Mus musculus: one gene and its partner. The protein of the gene in region 1 purifies or fractionates together with the protein of each later gene. This does not show direct contact. Links are inferred from orthologs where the notes say so. Each region holds a gene or a part of one and is shown on either strand. Other genes may lie near its edges.

Region 1 (4,010 bases):
TGAAACAGTTCCCAAGAGGTAACAGGGCATCAGCTGCGAGTTACGCTCATGTCCCCAAAGGCCACCTGGAATCACAGGGACAAGGAGCTCCAGTCTATAGCCCCCTGTGAGCTCTGTGCTGTTCATCAAGTTAGGGCCAGCGGGGCTTTACCCTCGTGCTCCCCCATCTCCTATCAGTCCAATCGAAGTTCCTGGAACCTGTCCTTTTCTGGTCCTGCCATGATGCCCTCCTGCCGACTTTCATGGTCTCCCTGTGGGTCACTCATCTGCAGATGGGGTGAGATTAATGAAAAAGTCGGCTTTTAGAGGGAAGCCATTATTATTCTAAAGACAGCAACAGAGCAGGGGCTAGAAGCGATGTGGGTTACAAGATTTTGGACAGGGTCACCCTGATTTCTCTGGTACCTGGGAGGGGACACCCTGGAAATACATGGTGGCACCCTACCACATGGAATTCTTTTATGAACCTCCTGTGTTTAGAAAGTAAGAGGGCATAGTCACAGGTACAGGGAAAACTACACCAGAGAAGGAATGTACATCACTAAACACACTATGTGCCCTGAATTTGGAGGACTTGGGAAAAAAAAAATTCTTTCAGAGAGAGAGAGAGAGAGAGAGAGAGAGAGAGACAGAGGGGGGGGGAGTGTGTGTGTGTGTGTAAGTCAGGTGACAGCTTACAGAAGCTGGATCAGGGCATCAGGTTTGGAGGTAGGCTCTACTACGCTAAGGTGGACTCCAGCACTCAGGTGACAACTTTGTAGTATCAAGCTAATCTTCTGACTCATCAAAAGCACCTCAGCTTTTGATAACGTCATTATTCCTAATAAATAATATAAGAAGTACTTCAGATTTGTTGTTTCTGACCTAACTTAGTGATACTTCTTCAATTCGTTGAAAATCTAGTCATTCTTTACTCTACTAAGTGAAATGACAACACTCACAAAGACACTACTGAGGAGTGAACTGTGTTTAGCCCTCAAAGAAATTCATTCTCCCAAAACAATTCTATAAGTGCCAATGTCTGACTACTTTAACCCGCTTGGACTTTAATACTATCTGTACCCCTCCCAAGGTATGAGTCCCCTCTATAAATGACAAGCTCAATTGTTTTTTAAGTCTTAGGCCACACTCACTTTGGTGGATCTCTCCCCCACCTCCTGCATTGTGGCTACACAGCAGGCATACTACCCGGAAATGCCAGAGATAGGGATCAGTCACAACTTAGCACAAGAGGGGTTCTGAGAAAGATTCTAAACGCAGACTTAGCCTAAGTAAACACTATGGTACAGCATGGTGGCCAGTGTCAATAGCCCCAATCCTCGGGAGCTGGGAGCAGGAAGGTCAGAAGTTCAAGGCCTGCTCTGTGGAGAGGATATTTGGAGCCAAAAAAGAATACACTGTTGAGGACCAGCAAATCTGTTGCAGCTTTGAAATGTGTTCCAGAGCTAGAGAGATGGTTCGGTGGCTAAGAGCACATACTGCTCTCCCAGAGAAGTTCAGTTCCCAGCAACCCCCACCTATCTCCAGCTCCAGGGGGATCTGATGCTTCTAGCCTCTACAAGTACCCACAACTCCTCACGACCACCCCATCTCAGGACCACACCCCTATACACATACACACACACAGGCTTATTCAAAGAGTCTCATCTCTTCTGGTTGTAGAAGCCTCAGTGATATGTCAGTTCCCTTGGAATTTGATCAGTACTATGGTTATTAATAAACCCAAACCATGGTTGGTAGACTCGATGAAGCCCAAACTCCTCCTAGGTGCTCTCATTTTTTCCAGAGAATGAAACACACACTTTAATATAAAGCCACTTGTCCAGTGAAAGAGAACTCAACGGCTCTCAGACAGCCTCAAACTCCTTGAACCACAGCTAAGGTCTAATTTTTGGGGGGAAGCGTTGCAATCCTAAGTGGCTCTGAAACAGATGAAAGATCACCACTGTTTTTTAATTTTTTCCTTCTTAATACATCTACTTTTCTTTCAAGCTGAAACTCCACACAAACTTCACCAACTTGACTGGGTGAGACGGTATCTAACATGCTAATAATCCATGATAACCGGCTCAAGCTTGTTTTCCTCCTCACACCCAGGGATACCCTTCTGCCTCTCCTCCCATCATCGTTAAGTTAAAACCTCTCGGAACCACCACCCTGGGGCAAGCAAGAGAAACGGAGGAAATGGTCTCGAAGTGAAATCACTTTCTCTCGCTAACAAGAGGCACCCCGGCTTACTGCGAGCGACACGGGATGGTACCAGATTCTCTGGCGAGTCGTGGGGGCAAGTGGAGAAGACCAGGAAGGCCCTGCGAGCACCCGGGGTGCCAAAGCCTGGAGGCAGGCGGGATGCTGGGGAAAGTGAAGCATTATCAGGCAAGTATCAGAAGCAGCCAGGGCGACGAAAGAAGGCAGGACAGGGCAGGTGAGAGATCGACACCCCCCCCCCCAGAACAACCTGAGGAATTCCCGCCTAGTAGGGTCAGTGAGGGTCCGGGTGTCTCACCAGAACGCCGCGTTCAGCCCCAGGCACCACAGGGCGCTCCTGGCCGGCCGCTCCCACACCAGGGCTGCCTGCACCCGGCTCAGCAGAGGCTCGTAAGGGCCCAGCACCTCCACCAGGGTCCGCTGCGCCGCCTCAACCTGCTGGTCGCGCTCCCAGGAGCCGGACATAGCTCGGCGGCCCCTGAAAGCCAACCCCGAAGCTGGACCCGGGGCCGCGGCCACCCCTTCAGCCTCCTCCATCTCCCCTTCAGCAGCCACAACATCCGGGGCCACGGCCCGGGAGTCACAATAACACCGACTGCGCAGAAGCACGATTTGGCTGCGGCCGGGCGGAGAAGGGGCGGGGCGGGGCAAGTGCCGGAACGCCCACGCGCGCATGCGCAGACGCTCCGGTGCGCATTCATCAGACGGAAGAGAACACTGCGTCGAAATGCGTTCCCGGCGCTGAGCGCGATTCGGAGCCGCGCACGCGCAACTCGCACGACTGAAGCCCGATGAAGGAGGAAATTTCATCTGCAGAACCCAGCTCCCATTGGAGCGGAGAACGATTAGGGGTGGAGCGCATTGTCTGGCGCCTGCGTCTTGCCGGCGAGCGCGCTAGCGGTCGGCGGTGTTGCTGGCGGGAGAGACTGCAACGCCGATGTCTGAGGAGCGATGCCGAGAGAAATCATCACCCTACAGTTGGGCCAGTGCGGCAATCAGAGTGAGCGAACCTCCCAGACCCTCTGCCTCCCAGGTTCCTTAGGTGCAAGAGGCCCTCGCAATAAGGTCATAGCTTCGGTCTGTCTGCAGAATCCTAGTTCTCCCCCACAAAGGCGATTCCCAACCCTGTGCCCAACTGCCTAAAGCCAATGGACCTTCCCCTGTCCAGTCATTGGCCTAGACACTAGGGAGTCCCAAGGCTAATCTAGATCCCTAGACCCAGGCGTTCAAATCCCCCACTGGCTATTTGGAACCTACCCAGACTCACGTATCTTTTTTCTTCACCTTCCGCCTCCCTCTCTTAGTTGGGTTCGAGTTCTGGAAACAGCTATGTGCCGAGCATGGCATCAGTCCCGAGGGCATCGTAGAAGAGTTCGCCACGGAGGGCACTGACCGAAAGGACGTCTTTTTCTACCAGGTGCTCCCCCAAGTGACTTGACCAGGACCCTGGCGGGACTGGCAGCGCGATCTGGTGCTGGGAAACTCTGAGTGGATGGATGGGAACAGAGTGGCTATCTTGAGGGAGAGCCTGCAGGAGCCAGAGTTGGGAGGCTTCAGGACTTGACCCATCCTGGCTTCCCTCTGACAGGCAGATGATGAGCACTACATCCCCCGGGCTGTGCTGCTGGACCTGGAGCCCCGGGTGATCCATTCCATCCTAAACTCCTCCTATGCTAAGCTCTACAACCCAGAGAACATCTACCTGTCGGAGCATGGCGGAGGAGCTGGCAACAACTGGGCCAGCGGATTCTCCCAGGTCATTTGCTGTTCCCCTGAAGGGCTCTCAACTCTGTGGGTGGGCA
Region 2 (4,173 bases), on another chromosome or scaffold:
GGGGTGGTGGATGCCTCCACAGAAACAATCTTTTCCAGACCAAATGGGCAGATGCACACATGAATTCAGAGACTGTGGCAGCGTACACTCGCCCTGCATAAGCTCAAGCCAGACACAAAGACCAGCACAGAGGAGGGGAAGTGGGCACAAAGTCTCTCTCATCCCTAGCCATGAAGCTATTCGAAACTGATATCTGCTGGAAAAGGGAAAGTTAGTCTTCTCCAATGGAGCTGCACTGGGTATATTAACTATACTCCAGGGTAGGTCCCATGCTCAGGAGTAGTTGGCCATCACAAATCAGACTCCATGGTTCTGTTTGGTTTTTGGGGTGTGTGTGTATGTGCGCGCACTTGAAAGGCATAGGCAGGTAGATCTCTGAATTCAAGGCCAGCCTGATCTACAGATAGAGTTCCAGGACAGCCAGGGGTACAAAGAGAAACAATGTCTCAAAAAAAACCAAAAACAAAAACCCTACGATGATGATGATGATGAAGAAACTAAGGTACTAACGATGATGACGATGACAGTAATGATATATCTAAGTTTGTCAAATGTTATAGATAGCCAGTGTGGCCAATCTAATAAGAAGACGCTTCAACAATTCCATCATTTCGCACAACAACAACAAGAAGCACAAAACAGCAAGTGTTGATTTTAGAATTTTCTGGGATATCTCTATTCCTGTCTCAGAAACAGGTGGGTTTTCAAAATTCTAGGAAAGAAGATCCGGGGTGAACCCGGATCATCACTCAGTCTCTAAGACACTGGGGTCAGAATGCCCAGGTATATGGATCGTGGAAAGATGCTTTAGAAACAAGTGGAGTCCTGAAGCTGTCAGAAGGGTGATTCTCCAATCCCACTCTTCCCTCCTTTCTAGCATGGTCAGTCAGCTGGACTTCTGCGAAGGTAAGATCAGATCAGAACGTGCTTCCTGTGGGCCAACCACTCATTTCATTCTCTATCCCATTTTACAGAGATGGAGAAATGATAAAAAGGCATCCGAGGAACACTCTCGAGTTGTCTTTTATTTCCTCTCCTTTCCTTTTGTTTGTTTGCAACAGTGTATTGATGATACACCTGTAATCCAGCCTCACTGATAATTCTCCTGTCTCCACCTCAGAGACTCCTGTGCGCCACCCACACCTAGCTAGCAGTTCGGGGTTTTTTTGTTTTGTTTTGTTTTGTTTTGTTTTTTGTTTTGTTTTTTTCCTCCCTATCTGTCCACCTGCCAACCTTTCAGAAGACTATTCGACCGGCGGCCCCACCTCCGAAGTGCGCCGAGCATCGCCGCTTTAAGAGACGGTCCTTTTGTCTCCCTGACCTCGTCCCGCCCCTCTGAGGGCTCCATTGCGCCTGCGCCTGGAGCTTGAGCGCTGGGGTTGGGCAGGATCTGGTTCCGTGCAACTTTTAAGTGAGTTACAAACTCCGCCCCGAGACCGGTGCAGGTGGTCGGGCGCTCTGCCACCCGGGCGGCAGGTGAGAGCTGAGGTCCGGCCTGCCACCCGGACCCGAGACCAGCAGCGCCGCCCTCGACGGGGGACGAACGGTTCTCCGCGGCAGGAATTGTGGGACTGAGCCGCCAGGATTCGGCGAGGCGGAGGGACGCGCCCTCCCGCCTCGATCACAAGGCGGCTTCCTCTGCTAGGCCCTCGGTCCCCTGGTTCCGGGTTCTCCTGGCTCCCCGCACTGCGGGGTCGAAGTCAGGGGTGGTGATCTCCGCCTACACCGAGGGAGAGGTGTACTGCAGCACCACTCACCCCCTTGTCCCAGCTCCTGAGTGAGCGTCCCTCCGCTTGTCTCTTGGGGTCATCCCCCTAGGCTGTCAGGATGGTGTCCTGGATGATCTGTCGCCTGGTAGTGTGAGTATGGTCACTGTGAGACACCTCCCCCCTCCCTTTTGTCCCAGGATGCCAACCTGCCTTTGGGTGGAAACTGGGGACGTTTGTAAAGAAGGGAAAATTTAAAGACTTCATGACCCCGTTTCCCAGCACACACTTAACGGTCCTGGGGGTCTGAAGTGGGACCTGGTCACTGCATACCTTGTTTCCACCCTGCAGCCTTCTGGTCTGACAGAGACCCTTCCTGCAGACAGGTGCTGCTAGGGCTCAGGGCTTTTACCACCTACAGTCCTGTGAGAAGGTGATTAGGTACTGCTGTGGGCGGAGAATCTAGGTGCCTCCTTCCCATCTGAGCAGCCACATGACCCACCACCCTAGCTTCAGCTTCTGCAGCCTGCACCTCACTTTTGGATATCCCAATACCTGGCTCAAATGTCCCTCACTGCATGCTGGTGGTCCTGGGCCTGATTACGTGTAGTGGGAGCGGACAGCCTAGTGTTCTCACCCACCTTGTGTGTTCTCAGTCTGTCCTGTACCCATGGGCCACCAGCGCAGGCCTAGGCAGGCTTGGTATGTTTGTAAACAGCCGGGTGGGGAGGCAGCCTCCGGGGCACTGACTCAGGCACCCAGGGTTGTGCAAGCCAAGCGGGAAAAACAGGGCAGGCACTGCCATCTCGCACCCAGGTCAGGGGGAGCAGCCACCTGGCAGGGAGAGGGTGGGGCATGGTCCCCTCACACTTCCTGTGACTGCTGTTCCAGGCTCATATTTGGCATGCTGTATCCTGCGTATGCTTCCTACAAGGCCGTGAAGAGCAAGAACATTCGAGAATATGTGAGTGCAAAGAGTGGGGTAGACGACAACATTGAGGAATGGTCAGGGAGGTGGTAGGACTTGGTGATGCTGGAGGGCCTGGCCTGTCAGACTCCAGGGGCTCGATCGATGGTGGAACAGATCTCAAGTAGAGTGGTCTAGTGGAAGGAAGGCCAGCCATTATTAACAATAGCCATGGAGGATCTCGTGGGCGAAGCATGCTGGGGGGGGGGGCACTGGAACGGAAGGCAGTTTCTCAGGGGCTCCTGTCTAAGCAGATGTGGGAAACTGTAGCCAGCAATGCAGTGGGACTGGCTTTGAGGAATCTCTGGGTTGGGCAGGCTGGGGGCGGGTCCTGGCGGCTTAGGCTCGTGAGCTGAGCTCTGCACTCTGACCCACAGGTACGGTGGATGATGTATTGGATTGTCTTTGCGATCTTCATGGCAGCAGAAACCTTCACAGACATCTTCATTTCCTGGTCCGGCCCAAGGATTGGCAGGCCATGGGGTTGGGAAGGGCCTCACCACCACCACCACCACCACCTGGCCTCTGGCTCACACAAACCCCTCCCCTTGCTTACACACAGGTTCCCGTTTTATTACGAGTTCAAGATGGCTTTTGTGCTGTGGCTGCTCTCACCTTACACCAAGGGGGCCAGCCTGCTTTACCGAAAGTTTGTCCACCCATCCCTATCCCGCCATGAGAAGGTACCTCTGAGGGAGATAGAGCAGAAACAGGAGGGTGTGTCAGGGCAGTGTGTCAGAGCGAAAGCCCTGTATCTCAGGTTCAGGCAGCCAGAGGTGCCTGGGTCTTATTCCCTGTCCCTCTATAGTTTTGCTGTGGGACTGTGAAAGGGGTTGGCTTTCCCCATCCACCTGGATGATACATATGGACGACCTTTAGGGTTATGACAAGCCAGCAGGAAGTTGACGTGGGCATGGAAGAATGGAAGGGACACCCACTAAGTTGTGGAGAGGGTGTGTAGTTGGGGAGTCCTGCTTTCAGTTGTTCTGAACCTAAATCTGTGGCTCCTGGGTCCTGGGTAGGGCTCATGGGATTATGACAACCAGTGGCTTCTTGGGGTCTGCAAAGACGGTGGTTCTTTCGTTGATCTGAGCTCTCCGCCCTGGGTCTGCAGGAGATCGACGCGTGTATCGTGCAGGCAAAGGAGCGCAGCTATGAAACCATGCTCAGTTTTGGGAAGCGGAGCCTCAACATCGCTGCCTCAGCTGCTGTGCAGGCTGCTACCAAGGTGCCGTGGGCCCCGGTGATCACAGCGCCTCCCCCGCTCCCAGATCAGTTCTGAATCTTGTGCCCCAGAGATTAGCTGAAGGGCAGCTTCCCCGTTACAGCCCTTCCCCTCGCAGCCCTCCTCTGGAGTTAACAGCGGCTCCCATCCCTCACCTCCTAGAGTCAAGGCGCTCTAGCTGGAAGGCTGCGGAGTTTCTCTATGCAAGACCTGCGCTCTATCCCTGACACCCCTGTCCCCACCTACCAAGATCCCCTCTACCTGGAAGACCAGGT

Evidence for each region.
Region 2: the proteins of Retreg3 (region 1) and Reep4 purify together in Homo sapiens (affinity purification with mass spectrometry; 3 studies listed by BioGRID and IntAct, with this or other methods). This does not show direct contact. The link is inferred for Mus musculus from reciprocal best matches to the Homo sapiens genes RETREG3 and REEP4.

What each region holds. Positions count from the first base shown.
Region 1 is NC_000077.6:101,117,035-101,121,044, forward strand, and holds the start of Retreg3 (reticulophagy regulator 3), read right to left. Parts: upstream 2,808-4,010; 5' UTR 2,746-2,807; coding exon 2,507-2,745; intron 267-2,506; exon of another isoform or gene 152-266; intron 1-151. Other genes in the region: Tubg1 (tubulin gamma-1 chain), read left to right, coding at 3,160-3,208, 3,513-3,625, 3,797-3,964. UniProt on the Homo sapiens protein: Endoplasmic reticulum (ER)-anchored autophagy regulator which exists in an inactive state under basal conditions but is activated following cellular stress.
Region 2 is NC_000080.6:70,543,880-70,548,052, forward strand, and holds the start of Reep4 (receptor expression-enhancing protein 4 precursor), read left to right. Parts: upstream 1-1,371; 5' UTR 1,372-1,827; coding exon 1,828-1,859; intron 1,860-2,597; coding exon 2,598-2,670; intron 2,671-3,050; coding exon 3,051-3,127; coding exon of another isoform or gene 3,128-3,235; coding exon 3,236-3,356; intron 3,357-3,787; coding exon 3,788-3,901; intron 3,902-4,060; coding exon 4,061-4,173. UniProt on the Homo sapiens protein: Microtubule-binding protein required to ensure proper cell division and nuclear envelope reassembly by sequestering the endoplasmic reticulum away from chromosomes during mitosis.